Bombyx mori: one gene and its partners. The protein of the gene in region 2 purifies or fractionates together with the protein of the main gene of each other region. This does not show direct contact. Links are inferred from orthologs where the notes say so. Each region holds a gene or a part of one and is shown on either strand. Other genes may lie near its edges. The genes, in order: pre-mRNA-splicing factor ATP-dependent RNA helicase PRP16, nudC domain-containing protein 1, COPA, ATP-dependent RNA helicase DHX8 and putative pre-mRNA-splicing factor ATP-dependent RNA helicase PRP1.

Region 1 (3,801 bases), on a different chromosome or scaffold from region 2:
AATACCTACATTGCGCGTCGAGTTGGCGGGCGAAGTCGCGGGCAGCTAATTGGCGTTAAATGTTTCGTTTGTTAACACTAATCATACTAACCCTTACTGGTACCTATTTCTACCATAGCGGGTAGATAACGGTATACGACAAGTATTACTCAAAATACACAAAACAAAACAAAAACAAAAAAACAAAATGTGTGCAATTCACACGTGGTAGAAGTGAAACCTTCCAAAATTAAAATACAATTATCCTAAACGTCTTAAGTATATGTAAAATTTTGTCATTAGTAAATAATTGTAAGGTAGCGCCCTCTGTGAATTGATATTTTAATTTCACGTATAATCCTAAATTAAAATTCACTACAAGAGCTTTCATACACACGTTAGTATTGAAAAATCTCACAGATGGCGCTGTATTAAATAGTATGTATATTTCTGTCTCATTCTTTGCTGGCTTCATCCTACACATTTTTGTATTTGTGTCTCTTACCTGTCGTTTTTTCCGTTGCATCCGGTTTGAAATCACAACGATTCTAAAGAAGTTTTCACTTCAAAAGTAGTATAATAACTGTAGATTAATTGGTAAGAATAAGTCATGAAGATGATACGTGCATTTTCATTGCAAAAGTTCAAAATGGGTCATTCGATACGTTATTATGTTTAGTGTTAATTTTATTATAATGCTTCTGCTAGTAACTAATAGTGATTTATTAGCAGTTTAGCGTCTGTGTACGTAGCGAAAAATGATACAAAATCACTGGATATGGCTTCGCACTTTCCTTCAAAACATCTACACTGGGACATTAGGGTAATCTCGTTTCATTTCATGTCAATAGATTAAAAAATCTATTAAAATAAATCAACTTAACTTCATTCATCATCATTTTATCATGTAAGACGGAATATTTATGGTTCTAATAATTAATGGTTTTTATAAATTCATTAATATTGGTTGGTGGTAACATTGGCGTTGCAAACGCATATTGCCAGATTGAAAAAAGGAAGTAGATTGAAAATTACTTCGTAACGAAAATGAAATGCACACAGCGCGCTTCACGTACATACCTTTATCTAAATGCTCCGCGTATTTGTACGCTTCTCTTGTAGGGCCATCTTCGAGTTCTTCTTTTTCCCTCTGTATTCCCATGATGTTGCCTGTATTAAAAAAGAGACGTTATAATTTTAATGTGTCTAGTAAAGCCGGCGAAGAGAATATTGGCGGGTATCATTTACCTAGTTTGGTTCCCTCTAATTTCCAATGTTTCTTCTGAGCTTTCCGTCTCTCCTTTTGTTCTCGGAATGCTTTCACTAAGGCCGAGCCTTTTCGTGCGTTTACCGCCATATCCGACGTAGGATCTTTTACCTAAAAAGTTTTTTAAAATATTATTAAACAAACTTTCTAATCGATATCACGAAACTAAAACTATAAATTAATCGATTAAATATAAATTAATCATAAGTAATCAGATGTAATCAAGTTTTAGGTATATATTTTATTTTATTTTTGTTGTCAATTCACTGTCGTTGCACCTACAGATCGTTCACCGTAAGTTGTCCCCTGCCGTGATGTTGGCACTATTACTTGTAATTTTTGTCAATCTGTTGTTGTCAGATTGTCTGTTGTGACGTGTGCCGTTAGTTTTTGTGTTAATATTTAATAACCTTCAAATTATTCATGCCAAAGCCATTTAAAAACAGTGCAAGAGAGATTGTGTTGAAGGTTCATGCCTTTTGTGAGAGAGAAAAGGCAAACCAAGCCCCGTTAATTAGACTCGATCAAGTGCGAGCACGAGTCGCCGCAATGACAGGTTAGTAAAATGGGGATACAAGCTTCAGACACAATGCCTTTAGTATGGGTAATAAGAATTTACTGACATATAGAATTAAAATAAAAAAGTACACATCTCAGTGAGTTTAATTTATTTCGATAATATGGTCATTACTTGAGTTTATATAAATATTAAATTTTATAAAAGGATACAAATTTTATGTCTTTATTTCAGGCATGTCTGAGAAAACTATGAGTAGAATAACTAAAGAAGGTGAAGTTGCTGCCTCTACGTCTCAAAAACTCAAATCTCGAGTAGCTAGCAATAATGTCGGCCAAGAAGCTGGTAATATCGTGAAGTTAACTGAAGAAGCTTTTTCATCGATAACTCCTCAGGATTGGCAAAAACAGCGTGAACACGTAAAACATTTAGAAGACAAATTTTATGAACGTGATGGCTGCATGGATAATATTACGGATAAATTCATAATTGAACTAAGAAACGACAGCAGTACAGATTCGGATACGTCAGACGACGCTTATGCAAGTGACAGTCTGGAATCGTTTCTTTCGACCATAATTACTGTCAGTAAAAATGAAATAAATAAATAATTTAAAATTTAAATTGTGTTATAATTTACAAACTTCCTAGTCTGTTAGCTATATATTATCTAGACATATAATAAAAATAAGTCAGGTCGATATCTGTGCTTTGAAGATATTGAAGAAAAACTAATATAGGGGGTCTTTATTAGAGCAACAGAAGCCAAAACAATAATTTTACATTACACACAAGATAATAGGGAGTAAAAGGTACATATATTGTTTGCAACACCGTTAGCAATGCTACCAACTCTCAAGGCAGGGGACATCTTATGCTGAACGGTCTGTATAATTGAGGTGACATCTGCCATGTACTTTTGTCAATTTATCAATGTCTTGTATTGATAATCACTTTGTTGGTGCAACTAAATAAATAAATAAAATCTTATTTACTTATACATATATATTTATATATTTTTTACAATAGTGGCATTGCTCATGTCGATGAGCGACGATGACCACTCACCATTAGGTAAGGCGTAAGGCTGGACTGCCTTCCTGGACAATAATAAAGTGAATACCGGAGTCCCTCGACTTTAAACCATAAATTATGTCAGCCGTGCTTACTAATGAGGTTAAAGAATCGATATTTAAAAAATCTGTGCATACAAACGAAACTGCATTTTTTTATGATTGAAGGATTACTGGTGGCCCGGAGGCCTTTCCAGTTTCACTAGGACAGGTGGGCAAGCAAGGGCTCGGTCAGGAGGGGTGGGATTTGCTAACAGCAGCCCGAGCGCGTCCGAAGGAGATCTAACAACTCAAGAGCAATTGCTTCGCGAATGAATCTACTACCGGATCGGAATCGCGACCCGCTGAGAAGATCCGGCGAGAAACTCAGCGGGCTGATGCATGGGTTAAGATGCATATTTATTTCGCGGCGCGAGTAAGCAGAACGGTGACCCACGCGTGAAGCAGTCCCGTGTTCCGTTTTGAAAGGGGGGCAATGGATACACAATGCTACGAGACTTCGACTTCACGTGACCAAGGACTCTGGTGACCATATCACACCAGATGTACCGACAGCAATACAGACAGTAACTTTACGTGAAGTTTATGCACACGTACCGGTATCACGGGCTCCGGCTGCTTCGTGAATATGATTCTTCCGTCGAGGAATGGAGGCACGATGTTGTGCACCAGCAGGTGGACGCGGTCAACGCTCTCCTGGAACACAGGACACAGAACTTATTGTACAGACTTTTTATGTTTCCCTGTTAGTTTTCTGTTATAGTCTGTGACAAAAATAAATATAATCTGTACTTTACGTTCTTTTTTTAAAATACTCATTTGATTCTCTGTTTAACATAAACCTCTGAATATGACCACGAGACTTTTTGACGGGAACGCGAGGAGTGAAATTGTGTGATTTGTTTTATTTTGTCTAGTTAGTGTTTCTTCAGGTTTAAATGTGTAGTAACTGTGGTTTATTAACT
Region 2 (4,243 bases):
GGAACTTAAGGAACTTTAAAGTTAGATGTCATCCACTTTCAATGCAATATCCCCTAGTAAAATGCAAGACTAACTGGCTAGGAACCATTCCCAAGACTAATGAATGCCCATTCTTTTATATCATTCACTCCTGTCAGAGTACCTGTGGATACATTGGTGGATCACTCTGGAAAATCATAGTACTATGACTATTTGTTATGGAGGATCACAGTTACTGGTGGTAGGACCTCTTGTGATTCCGCACGGGTAGGTACCACCACCCCACCTATTTCTGCCGTGAAGCAGTAATGCGTTTCGGTTTGAAGGGTGGGGTAGCCGTTATAACTATACTGAGACCTTAGAACGCCTTTACGCCCTTAGCGCGACCTTAGGTGGCGCATTTACATTGTAGATGTCTATGGGCTCCAGTAACCACTTAACACCAGGTGGGCTGTGAGCTCGTCTAGCCATCTAAGCAATAAAAAAAAAAAATTGTTCAGATAACTGTGTCATTCATTAACTTGATTTTCCTTAAAATTATGGAAACAGATGGCAATAATAATACATACTATATCAATGAAACATATTTTTATTGCACTTCAATAGCCACTAATGTTTTCTCTGTCAATATAAATAAATACTCATTTGTAGCATTAATTCCTAAAACTTCTCCATATTTGTCAATGTTGAATAAATTTTGTTGTCCCACTTTTATGGCTTTCATCATTCCTCCTGTACGTTTTCTCAGTTGTGAATCTTGGTTACCAGTACTTCGATAAATGAATATATGTCTCTCAGATTCACATACAACACTGTATGAGAAGTTAGGAGGACATGTAACAAATTTTCTATTTTGTTTTGAAGACTGAACATAACCAAATGCAGATAATGTCCCTTGATGGGTCACAGGCCAGGTTTCTGTGTTTACTAGTAAAGAGTATGGTTGCCATATGCAAGCATCTACATCTTGTCTTAAGGCTAATGCTGGGACTTCTTGAGTTTCCAATCTTACACTGAAGAGGTATTGGTGAACACTTAATGGTATCCGATGTGTGATTTCATGATTAGTAGCATCAAGCCTTACTGTAATAAAATAATAATACAATTTTTTAAATTAGTTGTTTTGTAGAAATTGTAAGTTTACTGGTGGTAGGAAGTATTGTGAGTCCGCACGGGTAGGTAGCCACCTGCCTATTTCTGGTGTGAAGCAGTAATACATTTTGGTTTGATGATTGGGGCAGCCATTATATTGTAAAAACGGAGACTTTAGAACTCATAGCTCAAGGTAGGTCATTTACGTTGTAGATGTCTATGGGCTCTAGTAACCACTTAACACCAGGTGGGCTGAGTACGGGTGAGTAAATTGACATATTGTTAAAGTAGAAAAATTGACATATTGTGGTCAACCTATTGTACGGGTTTGGGACTACCACCCTACAATCATTGAGTTTTGATTTCAAGCATTTTAATACAAGTGAGACTTTAACCTCAGTTTCCATATAGAAGCCCATATGGGCTACTGTCAAATATCAAAAACATGTAGGAGATGAGCCCGTTTGTCAATAAGAAATAATGTGATTTATTTTCATACCTAACACAGTGTCTTCTTCAGAAGCAGCATCACACTCTTCTAGTTCTTGTGTTGAGAACCCTGGCACTGACTGTTCACTGGTAGCTTCTGTTTCAGAACATAAATGTGCTAGTCTTTGGTGTGCTTCTTCTACTAAATTTGCGTCTACTATCTGTTCACCATTGGGATCCCCTCCTTCAATTAATTCATCCCATAACATACTATCAGATTTTGTAATTAGAATATCAACTTTACCATCTTCCTGAACATTCCATGTAGTCAAATTACTGTCCACGTTGTGCTTTAGTTTTCCCTCCACAAATGTCTTTCCAGCATAACTCACTTTGATGGTAATTGGTGAAACTAACACATGGAAATGTTTCTTATTGTATTTTTCTTCTAATTTTAACGTGACTGTTACATCCTCTGATGTCTGAAGCCATGTGTAAATAATTTTTCTCGATTCCATCCTTTGATTTTTCTGAGTAATCTCTGTTTCAGAATCCATGGTAAATTTAAAGATATTGTCCGATGCAACATACAAAGCACTGCAGCTGGTTTCTATGGCGGCATAGTGCACTATACCCTTTCCTTGTACTTGTCTGAAACTCATCTGCTTCCAAGACTCTCCATCATTATCAAAGGACACCCAAGTAAGAACAGACTCAAAATGTTTTTCATTTTGTTGAACTGATTGAAGTAAGCAATGCAAAGTTTCAGTATTTTTCTTCTCTTGTATTCGTGCATCAACAATAACAAAGTACTTGTTCTCTCCGAGTATTAAGCTGGATTGTAGGGTATGCCAGAGTTGATTCCTACCAGCAGACCTATTTCTTGGTCCTGTGTCGACTATGTGTAACATTCCTGTACCATCACTGACTACTGCTAAATTACTTGCAGGAAATGTCAGTGAAGGGTTGAAATGACCTGGTTTCCTTTCAATGTGGGCTGGGATATCATAAACAATATTATTTTGGAATGTGTGATTTATATTTTCAAAGGTAACATGTCTTACTTGCTGGTTTTTGTCAATGTAATAATAGTTGAACGAATAATCCCAATAATCAAGGACTAGATGGTTATGTAGTGCAAAAAGTTTTGCGTGAACGAAAGAGTACTGGACATCGTCGGGATAAACTTTATCCACGGGAGAAGCTAGCTCTAAGCTATAGTGGGGTAGGGCTTGTAAGTTTAATTTGTATCCTTCGAAGTCTAATTCCAGTAGACGTCTGTTTGGTCGTAATTCTACGAGGGAAGATGACATTTTGAAGTTTTCGATTATTTTCTATTTAAACTAACCTAACAATGCTTAAAAGTATTCTCAATTTTCACAAATAGGTATGTACCTATGTAATGTACATAATTTATAATAAAGTTCCACTTTTCAGTATCTACCTCTACTTCCTACTTTTCATAAAAATGAGCATAGAATAAACACTTTTTAATGAGTAGTCAGTAGTAGTATATTTTATTTTTCCAAACGGAAAGGCAACGGTATCGTACTATACAACTGATACAACGTAATATTTTATATATATTTTTTTTATGTTTATTTTATGAAATGAAATGAAATGAACTTGATTAATATGAAACATGGCATGAAATGAAATAAAATGAAATGAGCTTTATTCTTACAAAAAAAGGTAGCCATTAATTTTCGAAGTTAATATTACGAGTAATGCGATACTACATAAATAAAAAATAAATAAAATTCTTAATGTGTTTAATTCTATGGTAAGCTGCATGTTGTAAATATTCTATGTTTAATCATACAACAGTGTAAAATGTAAATAAATTATATTGTTATTATATTGATATTGTGTATTAATATATATATATAGGCCCTGGCAGTAACAAACTGACCTGACCATTGTAAATATTCCAATACAAAGGACGGTGACGCCGCGGCGGAGGAAGAAAGGCGGAAACGCGAGGAGTGAAGTTGTGAGATTTATTTTATTTTGTCTATTTAGTGTTTCTTCAGGTTTAAATGTGTAATAACGATGGTTTATTAACTGTTTAATATCTGTGTAAGTGCACAAATGTGGGAAAATGAAACAAAGCCGCTGATATCATCTCGGGATCCTCCAAAAAGTCCACTGAAAAAATCTCAGTAAATGACCACCATTTTACTGAGATTATATTTCATCTTCAAACGTAGTGTAGGACGCCCTCCTTCTAGATGAAGTGACGACCTGCGCAAGGCAGCTGGCAATGACTGGAAGCGTAGAACCGAAGATCGGGTTCAGTGGCGCCATGGCGTGCTTTGGGAGAGGCCTATGTCCAGTAGTGGACTGCCGCAGGCTGATGATGATATTTCATTTTATTCCTTATTATCATTTTTCATAAAATAATGAATATAAATTATAAATTAACTAGCGACCCGCCCTCGCTTCGCTTCGGAAACTGTAATTTATTATTGATTTCTCCATTATTTAATGGATATATAAACATATAAACCTTATATATAAACCTATATATAAACCTTCCTCTTCAATCAAACCTTCAATCACTCTATCTATTAAAAAAAACCGCATCAGAATCCGTTGCGTAGTTTTAAGGATTTAAGTATACAAATACATAGGGATATAGGGACAGAGAAAGCGACTTTGTTTTAAACTATGTAGTGATGATATAAGACTTGACCTAAAGGTGTTCGTTACCAGGTCATAAAATCCCTTAAAAAATTGCCAT
Region 3 (3,801 bases), on a different chromosome or scaffold from region 2:
AGGCATAACTGCTTCTGACTCAGGCATGACTGCATTACACAGTTTGCAGCCGCATTCACACTGCGTCTATGGAGTTCAGTAACGGCTTGGCACTATTTGGGCCGCGTGAGGCGAGTTTAGCCTAATAATCCTGCCTGTCATAAGGCCTGCCACCGGGAAGGATCTCCTGCCTGTCATAAGTTATCCAGGTACAATTTTAAAGTCGCCGTGGCCTAAAGGATACGTCCGGTATGGATACCAATTTTTCTAATGAAATACGTACTCAACGAATGTTCACGATTGACTTCCACGGTGAAGGAATAACATCGTGTAATAAAAATCAAACCCGCAAAATTATAATTATTGGTGGTAGGACCTCTTGTGAGTCCGCACGGGTAGGTACCACCATCCTGCCTATTTTCTGCCGTGAAGCAGTAATGCGTTTTGGTTTAAAGTGTGGGGCTGCTCCATTATACTGAGAGCTTAGAACTCAAATCTCAAGTCACCCAGTACGCAATAAAAAAAAAATCATAAACCACAACGCACCCTTCTCCTGCAAGTAGGCGATGATGCTCTGCCCGACAAGTTTAGCCGTCCGCACCATGTGCAACACCTGATCGTATTGGCGCGTCACTAGAGCTAATTTGAATCTAAAACCAAAAAAATTATTTTGTTCATAACCTATATAATGTATTGTATGTAAGTATGTATATTGGTATATATCTGTTTATCTATATGTAAATATTTTCTATAATAATGTATTGTCTATGGTACATCGCAACATACCTGCTATATTTTTATATTTTGCAGAATTTCTGTAAATTAAACGGTAGTCTGGAAGAGATCGCTTTTAGCGATAAGACCGCCTATTATACAAATGTATCTGCTTTTTGACTGTTTTCTTTAATGTAAATTGTGTTTTGGTGTGAAATAAAGTGTATTCTCTCTCTATTGAACATATACAGGGTGATTTTTTAACTTGATCACTTAAATCTATCTACCGAGCCAAAAGTCCACATCCAATAGTACAAAGCTAAGACTTTAATCTTTTTATTTTCAGAGTACACACACGTATGAGATAAAGCCTGAATTCTAAAGAACACCGATCATTGGACCAGTTCAAATGACCAGTTTATTTTGTTATAATCTAAAATTCTCATTCAATCAATCTCATCTCACAGCTTACTTAAATCCTTATCTTAAACCTCCTTATCAATTAATGGAGCGATACAGGGTGTGGTTTTATATTATAAATGAACGTGTTTTCCGCCTACATCGGGAAAATGTTTGTGGGATGTATACACGTATGATGTATACGCGTATAATACATACATGGTAAAAAAATTGTTAATATAAAATATAAAGGTCTATAGAAGGGATTTTATTTTATTTATTTATTTATTTTCACGAGAAACCACTGCACTATATTCCCAAGAAAGTCATGAATAGGAAGAATACGAAAAAATGTAAGCCGAGGTAGCCGCTTGGCAATCGGCGCCGTCTTGTGTCCGGGACAAACAGTGTGAAATGGGTTACCGGCCATGTCAATGTAAGCGACCAGGCGTTGCATGGAAATAATGCTACTGGAAAACCTGTATCTATGCTTAAAAACATCATAAAAATAGGTAACTGGAATGTCCGTGGCTTGCTGCAACCGGGTAAACTAATAATGATAGAAAAGGAACTCGTTAGGTGTGGAATAGCCGTATGTGGACTGAGCGAAACTCACTGGAAAGGAAGAGATCTCGTGGAAGAATCCCCATGCGTTGGACTGATCAGGTGGAAGACCTTACTGAAACCCCACTTAACGCGTGAGTGCGCCGGGTCTCGATTCGCAAACTATGAAAAACATCTATCAAGGCATATAAGCAAGAATTCCACATGACCACGACTGCTCTGCCAAGAGCAACCGATTATCATGAATGATGGTAGAGGGGATCTTAATTTGAGGTCAGATGATGAACGTTATGTGTTAATAATTAATCTGAATATAGTTATTTTAAAACTAGCCTGTATTCCGTGGGGTCGATGTTGAGTACTTTGGGCCTGCATTCTCGGTCCAAGCACACCACGCGCGCGCCCGTCTCCGTCGACAGCACGCGCACCGCGTACACGGGCACGTCCAGAGTGCGGATGATGCCGTAATCGCTGTGGGAAAAACAACAACAAAAACTCACGTCATTACGGACCCTCCCGATCCATTAACGGTGCTTTTAGGTACCTCAAGCACCGGTCACCGTCCTCGTCGAACCCATCGACTAGTAAATTAACCCATAGACACAGCCCACTGAGTTTCTCGTCAGATCTTCTCAGTGGGTCGCGTTTCTGATTCGGTGGTAGATTCTGTGAAGCACTGCTCTTGGTAGAGCCAGTGTTAGCAGTACTCCGGTTTGAGCCGCGTGAGCTCACCTAATAGTTCGGTGAATCTAGAATAACCCCTCGAGGTTAATAGAATATGTAGAAAAAAAAAACACGTGTGGCACTCGGGGACTGTCGCGGTAAAGCTATGGCATAGCATATTTTATCAACTTATGCCATTATAATTAAACAATGATAATTTAATATTAAAAATAATAATAAAATAAGAATACGCTATATTTATAAACATTAACAAAAGCAAAACATTAACTCTCCCCTTCAACTCATAAGCTAGACCACGCGCGAGAGAGAGATGGGCAGACTTTTCATGATGCGCATGCAGTGCGACGTCACGCCGCGCGCTTATTTACAAACACTACACAAGCGCAACGTGTGAATGTGTTAGACGCGAGCTACATGGTAGGCGGAGTGGAGGGTGTTAGGTTTTATTTTCGTTACGGAACTTCTTGATTTAGTCGCCGCGCTCAAAGCCCGCGATAAAAGCTATGCAATAGCTTAAGAAAGAAAAAAAACATTGCATCGTTTTCTTTGACAGTCGCCATTGTGGTTAGCGAAGACCATAGAGATTTTAAAACATGAGCACAGGCGATAAATCGTTCCTTCAAACTGGAATGTACCACTACTTCCAGCACATCCTAGCGATTCTACTGACCAGAAGACACTCACCCGTCCTTACAGCAGTACTTGATGTGATTTGCCGTGGTGTATATGAACACGGGCTGCGGTGTGGAATCGTCGAAGGCGCCGGACTTGACTCTGGCCCCTTCGGTGATGCAGCACAGCTGCTCCAGCTTCTTGGTGCATAGTGTGACCGTGTGCTTGCCCAACAGAGCCACTATTGACATATCGGTATTCCAAATGGCGTAACGACATTTCGATACTTTCACCTGAAAATATGTAATTCAAATTAGCTATGTTATTTGTAGGCAGCGGCTTGGCTCTGCGCCTGGCATTGCTGAAGTCCATGGGCGACGGTAACCACTTACCATCAGGTGGGCCGTACGCTCGTCTGCCTACAAAGGCAATAAAAAAATAAAATAAAAATACATGTGTGCAATTCACACGTGGTAGAAGTGAAACCTTCCAAAATTAAAATACAATTATCCTAAACGTCTTAAGTATATGTAAAATTTTGTCATTAGTAAATAATTGTAAGGTAGCGCCCTCTATGAATTGATATTTTAATTTCACGTATAATCCTAAATTAAAATTCACTACAAGAGCTTTCATACACACGTTAGTATTAAAAAATCTCACAGATGGCGCTGTATTAAATAGTATGTATATTTCTATCTCATTCTTTGCTGGCTTCATCCTACACATTTTTGTATTTGTGTCTCTTACCTGTCGTTTTTTCCGTTGCATCCGGTTTGAAATCACAACGATTCTAAAGAAGTTTTCACTTCAAAATAAAAAAATTCAGCGAAGCACTGATCTTGCTAG
Region 4 (3,801 bases), on a different chromosome or scaffold from region 2:
TGGACTCCCTACACTAGTTGCGGGGGCGTTAATCATGAGAATCTTTGTGGGGGTGAGAAATAATAATGTTAATTTTAAATGCCCAGGGAAGTGGACGGGTACAGCTAGTCACTTTATCATTTTAATTCAGACACGAATCATCTGTGTATTCTTATGATTATGAAATTTAGGTGACAGATTAATTTGGTCACGGATTTATAGAAACGGGGTATCACCTGCGATATAGGAGTTACAACCAACGAATCCATTCCAGTCTTCGAGTTGTAGACTTTCTGTTTAACGAAGCCAGGGTCCACCACGTAGTATATACCGTCGATGGTCAGCGACGTCTCCGCGATGTTGGTGGCGATCACCACCTTCCTGGAGCCGGGGGGCGCCGGCTCGAAGATCCGGGTCTGCATCTCGGACGGCAGCGCAGAGTACACCGGCAGAATTATCAGCTCCGGCACGTCCGGCCCCAAGGACTTCATTCTCTCGTACAATATCTCACACGCCGTGTCAATCTCTTCTTGGCCAGTGAGGAACAGCAGGATATCCCCCGGGGGCTCCCTCAGGTGGATCTGCATGACCGTGATCAGTGAGGCGTCCAAATAGTCCGTCTCCGGTTCCTTGGTGTACAAGACTTCGACGGGGAAGGTTCGACCGGGGATGGTGAAGATCGGGGCCTCGAAGAAGTACTGCGAGAACTTGACGGCGTCGAGCGTGGCGGACGTGACGATGAGCTTGAGTTCGGGGCGCTTCTGCACGGCCTGCTTCAGCAGACCGAACAGCACGTCGGTGTGGATGGTGCGCTCGTGCGCCTCGTCCAGCATGATCACCGAGTACGCCTTCAGGTCCAGGTCCATGAGGCACTCGCGGAGCAGCATGCCGTCCGTCATGTATCTGAAATTATTAGTCGGCTTAACGTTGGTAACTTTTTGTCGTACATCCTGGTAACTCGATAGTAGTAGTTACTAAGCTTACATTCAGTAGATCGATGAGCTTGTTGACATACGCAATACATATGACAACACTATGGGTGGACGAGCTCACAGCCCAGCTGGTGTTAAGTGGTTACTGGAGCCCATAGACATTTACAACGTCAATGCGCCACCCACCTTGAGATATAAGTTCTAAGATCTCAGTGTAGTTATAACGGCTGCCCCACCCTTCAATCCGAAACGCATTACTGCTTCACGGCAGAAATAGGCAGGGCGGTGGTACCTACTCGTGCGGACTCACAAGTGGTCCTACCACCAGTAAAAAACTCACTTTAATATACACAATCATATACCAAAGGTAACCGGTAGGCAGCGGCTTGGCTGTGCCCCTGGCATTGCTGAAGTCCATGGGCGACGGTAACCACTCACCATCAGTATAGTTTAGAGTAAAGTTGTCAGACCTGAAAATTTTACTGTTAATTTTAAAATGTTAGACAAAGTATCTGGACAGTGCAGTTCCACTAACTTGATGACAGTGTCCGGGCTGGTGCAGTCCTCGAAGCGTATGGTGTAGCCCACCTCCTGGCCCAGCCGGCAGCCGAACTCCTCGGCAACGCGCTTGGCGACGGACATGGCGGCCACGCGGCGCGGCTGCGTGCACGCCACCTTGCCGCGCGCCGCCAGCCCGCACTCGCACACGTACTGCGTTATCTGCGTCGTCTTGCCCGACCCCGTCTCGCCGATCACGATCAGGATCTGGTTGTCGGACACGGCCTGGAACACAGAGTCAACGGTAGGCCTTCAGACCGGAACTAGAAGATTGCACAGAGTGGGAATGAGTTGCTCGCTCCGGGCATTTAATATTGCAATAATTTTTACGTTATAATACTCATTGTAAAAATTAATATTTAAAAAAAACTATTATATAGAAAAAAAGACATGCCCGCTGAGTTTCTTGCCAGTTCTTCTCAGGGCGGAGGCTAGTTTTTGTGAATTGGCGGTAGTTCTTTTGACGTTCAATAAGTATGTACTTTCATTTATGTTGAATATTTTTTATTTTATTTGATTTGATTTGATTTGAACGCGCGATGGCTGTACGTATAAATTCTTACTGTTAATTAAGCTCCGATTATAAAAATGGCTATATAAAATATATGATTGATATATGATAAAATATATAAAAGATATGATTGCTCCAACAGTCCGTAACTGCGCACACTACGTACCTTAGTTAGTTCATCTCTAAGCTTGTATATGGGCAGCGACTGTCTCTGCTCGAGCAGGGATAAATTCGTTTTCTTTCCAAATGAGGATTTTTTTCCACCGATGACGTGTTTCTTCCATTCTGGCAAGTCTTGAGGGACCACGCCCGCGCCTCGCATGTTGGCCGCTAACGTTCGACCCTCGGACTCAGGTAGCGGATCTATCCAATTTTTATTTAGACCTAGAAATAAATGAACATAAATTGAACATTCTTGACTACAATTGACCGCCTAATTCTGCCGTGAAGCTGTAATGCGTTTCGGTTTGAAGGGTGGGGCAGCCGTTGTAACTATACTGAGACCTTAGAACTTATATCTCAAGGTGGGTGGCGCATTTACGTTGTGGATGTCTATAGACTCCAGTAACCACTTAACACCAGGTGAGCTGTGAGCGCGTCCACCAATCTAAGCAATAAAAACAATATTAAGTTATAAATCGAATTATAGTTTAATTACGACTGAAACTTAGATCACAACTTGTAAATTCCATTTACTATGAGAGATATAAACGTTAATTAGATAAAATACCAGTAGGTACGCTGTCCATTTCCTGCTCCCGTTGGATCATCTTCTGCTCTCTCCTCTCTTTGGCCAATGCGGACTGCATCATGGCTGCTTGTGCAAGGGAGCCATCGGGATTCTTAACTATCCTTACTGGAGAAAGATCGTGAAGGGCTCTGCCATGACCTTGGAGGAAAGGAGGTTCTTCTTCTACTAGCTCTATTTCAATGTCTGCCTCGCCATCTTCATCTTTTGGAAGTAAACCAGTCTCCTCATCAAAATCTGGTAATTCACTCTTATCAATTACGCCTGATGAAATCATCTGTAAATGAATTTTTCGTTACTCTTTTATATGGACTATAGTAATAATATTTATATATATAAAAAACAGGAAAAAATTGGTATTTAAATTTGAAGTCCGAAAAGTTTACAGAGCTATAAAGCAAGAAAACTGTCTATGCTTTTTTTAACAATGTTTCTATTATGTAAAATTTAAATTGTTTAAATGTAAATCATTTTATTTGTTACATATTTTTTGCTCTGTGGTGAGCAACTAAAATAATTTTTATTTTTTATTTTTAAAGCACACAAAAAGTTTTAAGAAAAAAAGAGTCCCTAAATAAATATTTGTGACTTCCATCAAGATTGCTTCATATTATTATTACATACATGCATAAAATATTATTAGTTTGTTGTATTGGTAATAAAAAAGCAATGTACTGTATTAGTACTACTGTAAAAAATATATTTTAAGATAACATTAATCTTTCTCAATGACATGCTCTCAATGCTTTCTGCAATTGAACAACATTTTGAAAACAAACTGCCTGAGAACCCTACTTCACATTTACCTGTTTGATCTCCCATCTCTCAGGACTGGATATCCTTGTCACCCTCTTCCTACTAGAATCCTCATCAGGGTCTATTCCACCTTGGAGTCCGGCTAACACAGTTGCTGCTGGTGGAGGGCGATCAGGGTTTCGGCCTTCACGTTCTGCTTCCAGGTGAGCATGGGATGCTGGATTGAGATCCTTCCCGGTCTCTTGACAAACATCCTTCATTGTGAGAGAAACTTTCTGTCCTGTTATTGAGATTACTTTGACCTGTAAATGTGAAAT
Region 5 (3,801 bases), on a different chromosome or scaffold from region 2:
TTTTTTGTCTCATGCTCCATCGATGAGCCATGTAACCATTACTTATACAATATCGTATCAAACAAATTATTTCTATGAGCTTATGGTGCATTCAGCTACATGATGCTTGTCTTATTTGCAATTGTAATCGCATCATCCTTATTCGATATATTGTAGTTTCAGCATTTTGACCTAGTTGCCCAGTATATTCTCCAAGTTAAAAGTCTGTAGATATTGAGGCTACCCCCAGTTCAGGAGTTGGACAATTTATTAAAATTAATTTCTATTAAAACAAACTAGTGAAGTGTGGCTTGTGATTTTTTCTTTAAATAAACAGACAGTATCGTATACCCAACAAGAAATCACTTAAAGCAAGTCAAATACTATCTGGGTTTTTTTTCCTACCTAAGCTGAGACCCTTGAGAGGCTATTTCAGTGTAACCTTAACTAGTAGGTGAGCTCACGGGGCTCAAACCTGACGTCGTTGCTAACACGAACCCTAGCAAGAGCCGTGCTTCGCAGAATCTACCACCGGATTGAAAACGCGACCCACTGAGAAGATCCGGCGAGAAACTCAGTGGGCTGTGTCTGTGGGTTAATTTACTCGTCGAGCCCTTCGTCGCAAGCGACGGGTTCGACGAGAACGATGACCACGCTATCTGTAAGCACAGATATGGAACATCCTACCTGACAGCATGGCAGTGATGGAGAGGATCTCGTTGGAACAGTTGTGATTGCAGCTGGCTATCAGCATCTTGGCCAGCTGTGGGTCGAGGGGGAACTCCGCCATCACAGCACCCAGGTCAGTGAGGTTACCGTCATCATCTGTGGAGAATCAAATGACAAATGAACATCATGAATAATAACCCATCTGTCTCGACTGGTGTTAGGTCGTCTTGTGAGCTCACGCGAGTAGATACCACGACCATGACTATTTCTGCCGTGAAGCAGTAATGTGTTCCGGTTCGAAGGCAGCCATTGTACTGTAAAACGTATACTCAGAACTCATGTCTCAATGTAGATGGCGAAATTTACGTTATTGATGGCTGAGGGCTCTGGTAGCCACTTAACATCAGGTGGGTGATAGACGCCCACAGATTTAAGCAAAAAAACTTAATTCATGGCAGGCCATGCAGAGCCTGCATAGGTCTGTCCTCACTGCATACATCTATAAATCCATTGAATGGTCAAAATTCCATTACATTTCTGTCTTTTGTTTTGTTATTGTCATTTCTTCATGAAGTAAGTAAGGCTAAGTATTTCCAACTTTTATTTATTACTAACAGTATCCTTACGAAAGCTTAAGAAAAACCACAAAAAGAATAGACAAATGGTATATTATGATTGTTTTGTCTTTGCCTTTTTTAGTGACGTTACAATTAGACATGCCACGAATATTCGGTAGTCGGCCTATTCGGCCACTTTGTTTGGTATTCGGTATTGGGCCAAATAATAGGTACTATTCGGCCCAATACCGAAAAATGAAGGGCAGGTCTCAAATCATGTTTCGTCAAAAAACTCGAATAATGATTTTTGTTTATTATTTTCATTACAAATCTCATAATATTCCCATATGGCCGATTTTTTATTAATTGGTGTCATTTTTTAATGAACAACAATTGAAAAAGAACTGACGATAAAAGTTTTCTACAAAATCGTAATGTTTCATTTATATTGATCTGACAAAGCGTGCCGTGACGTGATTTACTCGCAACTGAAACAGTCTAATGGCCGGACACCGCCCGCACACGATGGAGACAGGTCCCAACCGGTCATATTATTCTTTACGCGCTCGACTAACTAGCATGTACTTTGTGCCGAATATTCGGCGCTTCCGCCAACAGCGTTGCCGAATATTCGGTATTCGGCCAAATCACTATTCGTGGCAACTCTAGTTACAATAATCCATGAACGCTTCTAAAGTAATTTCAAAAACAATATACAGCACAAGCTCACCCAGCGCAGCCAGATAGTTGAGCAGCTCGAGCGCCCGCATGAGTGTCTCCGGAGCCGGTGGATCCATGAAATCGAAATGCACCAGGTCATCGATGCCCAACTTCTTCAACTGCAAAACTACAGATCCTAAGTTTGATCTGGAACGGGCAACGCAGTCGTATTATTAGATTACAACTCACTTCATTACCCGAACAGGACAAACTTAAAGGGGGTGTGATTTTAGCATATTGACATGACAGTAACAGTACTCTTAGACTTCACCCATTCAATAGCTGAGATATTTAGGGTGTTAGCTTCTAGAACTATGTTAGTGTAATTCGCTGTGTAAGAGTCAGATAAAGTCAGGAAAAAATTCTCAATTTTTCTCGTTTCATACCAAATTCCATACATTTTTCTGGTTCCATTGAAAGTGATTCTTAGGCTTTTTAGTTGTTTTGGAATTTGTTAAATATCAACTATACCATTACGTCGTTTTGGCAATTCATAAAATACTATATTTTGAACAGTTTCATGAAAAAAAAAATTTTTTTTTTGTGGGTATGCGTTTGGTCTGATTCTTATACCGCGAATTGTAACCCATTCAAAATTATATTAGAGTAGAGAAACATTGTCGTGCTCTGCCCACTACACCGACTTGTATGAAAATATATTCTAGAAACTATATATAGCCTATATAGCTAGCTTGTTGTTTCTATGACGTAAACCTATTTTGGAAAAAATATCCAAGATTCGTCACAATTAATGATTTTATAGCACATACATTTTTATTTGGACTACTAAACAACAAGTAAACTTTATACACAATTGACAGTAATATAAAGTGATGATTCTCAGCAATTGACAGTGACCACACCCAATCAGACAGAAATAATGATGCACATGAAAAGCTATAAAATATAGACAAACAGAGCTTATCTTGTTATTATATAAGAATAATAATTGAACATTACAACTGTTAGTATAGAAATAAATACAGTATTTACTCACTACATTCGAAACGGTAGTCACATACAAACCGTTATAAAAATTACCTCAAAATCTCAGGATAAGTATTGTCCTGCATTTCATCCTTGTATGCTTTCTCAGTATATAACCGGAAGCACTTCCCAGGTCTAGTTCTGCCGGCCCTCCCCGCTCTCTGTTGGGCTGATGCTTTACTTATCGGAGAAACCAATAACGATTCCACCCTTATACGGGGATTATAAACTTTTTGTTTCGCAAAACCTGGGTCAATGACAAAAACAACACCATCAATAGTCAGAGATGTTTCAGCGATGTTTGTGGACACTACCACCTTCCTGCCGATGGCTCCGTTTGGTCGATTTGGAGGTGCCGGCTCAAAGATCCGTTGCTGTAAATTTGGCGGCAATGTTGAATATAACGGTATGCACTTTAGCTCTCCTGCATCAGTTCCCAGATTGTCTATTTCTCTTTTAATTCTCTTACAAGCATCCTCAATCTCCTCTTGTCCAGTTAAAAATAGTAGTATATCACCAGAGATCTCTTCACACATATGGATTTGTATTACAGTCCTTATCGCAGCTTCTAGGTAATCTCGTTCAGGTTGTGGAGTGTAAAATATTTCTACCGGATGAGTCCGACCAGGAATGTTCATTAATGGAGCATTGTCAAAATAATGCTGGAACTTTCCAGCATCTAATGTGGCTGACATAATAACGAGTTTCAAATCGGACCTCTGTTTTATGACTTCTTTGAGAACACCCATCAGGATATCTGTTGCAAGTGTCCTTTCGTGGGCTTCATCGAGGAGTATAACTCTATATTGTTCTAGCATTGGGTCAGACATAGCCTCTCTTAGCAACATACCGTCTGTCATGTATTTTAGAAGTGTTTGTGGCCCTGAAC

Evidence for each region.
Region 1: the proteins of nudC domain-containing protein 1 (region 2) and pre-mRNA-splicing factor ATP-dependent RNA helicase PRP16 purify together in Homo sapiens (co-immunoprecipitation; 3 studies listed by BioGRID and IntAct, with this or other methods). This does not show direct contact. The link is inferred for Bombyx mori from reciprocal best matches to the Homo sapiens genes NUDCD1 and DHX38.
Region 3: the proteins of nudC domain-containing protein 1 (region 2) and COPA purify together in Homo sapiens (co-immunoprecipitation; 3 studies listed by BioGRID and IntAct, with this or other methods). This does not show direct contact. The link is inferred for Bombyx mori from reciprocal best matches to the Homo sapiens genes NUDCD1 and COPA.
Region 4: the proteins of nudC domain-containing protein 1 (region 2) and ATP-dependent RNA helicase DHX8 purify together in Homo sapiens (affinity purification with mass spectrometry; 3 studies listed by BioGRID and IntAct, counting the BioPlex papers as one, with this or other methods). This does not show direct contact. The link is inferred for Bombyx mori from reciprocal best matches to the Homo sapiens genes NUDCD1 and DHX8.
Region 5: the proteins of nudC domain-containing protein 1 (region 2) and putative pre-mRNA-splicing factor ATP-dependent RNA helicase PRP1 purify together in Homo sapiens (co-immunoprecipitation; 3 studies listed by BioGRID and IntAct, with this or other methods). This does not show direct contact. The link is inferred for Bombyx mori from reciprocal best matches to the Homo sapiens genes NUDCD1 and DHX15.

Annotation. Positions count from the first base shown.
Region 1 is NC_085117.1:18,329,633-18,333,433, reverse strand, and holds part of pre-mRNA-splicing factor ATP-dependent RNA helicase PRP16, read right to left. Parts: intron 3,533-3,801; coding exon 3,434-3,532; intron 2,388-3,433; exon of another isoform or gene 2,375-2,387; coding exon of another isoform or gene 1,998-2,374; intron 1,803-1,997; coding exon of another isoform or gene 1,670-1,802; exon of another isoform or gene 1,358-1,669; coding exon 1,228-1,357; intron 1,150-1,227; coding exon 1,060-1,149; intron 1-1,059. Other genes in the region: uncharacterized protein LOC105842458, read left to right, coding at 1,670-1,802, 1,998-2,374. UniProt on the Homo sapiens protein: Probable ATP-binding RNA helicase. Involved in pre-mRNA splicing as component of the spliceosome.
Region 2 is NC_085121.1:551,703-555,945, forward strand, and holds nudC domain-containing protein 1, read right to left. Parts: upstream 3,064-4,243; 5' UTR 2,814-3,063; coding exon 1,571-2,813; intron 1,063-1,570; coding exon 569-1,062; 3' UTR 553-568; downstream 1-552.
Region 3 is NC_085132.1:3,498,710-3,502,510, forward strand, and holds part of COPA (coatomer protein complex subunit alpha), read right to left. Parts: intron 3,246-3,801; coding exon 3,025-3,245; intron 2,128-3,024; coding exon 1,990-2,127; intron 630-1,989; coding exon 526-629; intron 1-525. UniProt on the Homo sapiens protein: The coatomer is a cytosolic protein complex that binds to dilysine motifs and reversibly associates with Golgi non-clathrin-coated vesicles, which further mediate biosynthetic protein transport from the ER, via the Golgi up to the trans Golgi network.
Region 4 is NC_085116.1:15,844,006-15,847,806, forward strand, and holds part of ATP-dependent RNA helicase DHX8, read right to left. Parts: intron 3,787-3,801; coding exon 3,535-3,786; intron 3,006-3,534; coding exon 2,711-3,005; intron 2,365-2,710; coding exon 2,147-2,364; intron 1,695-2,146; coding exon 1,447-1,694; intron 883-1,446; coding exon 216-882; intron 1-215.
Region 5 is NC_085130.1:9,705,701-9,709,501, reverse strand, and holds part of putative pre-mRNA-splicing factor ATP-dependent RNA helicase PRP1, read right to left. Parts: coding exon 2,967-3,801; intron 2,073-2,966; coding exon 1,936-2,072; intron 805-1,935; coding exon 667-804; intron 1-666.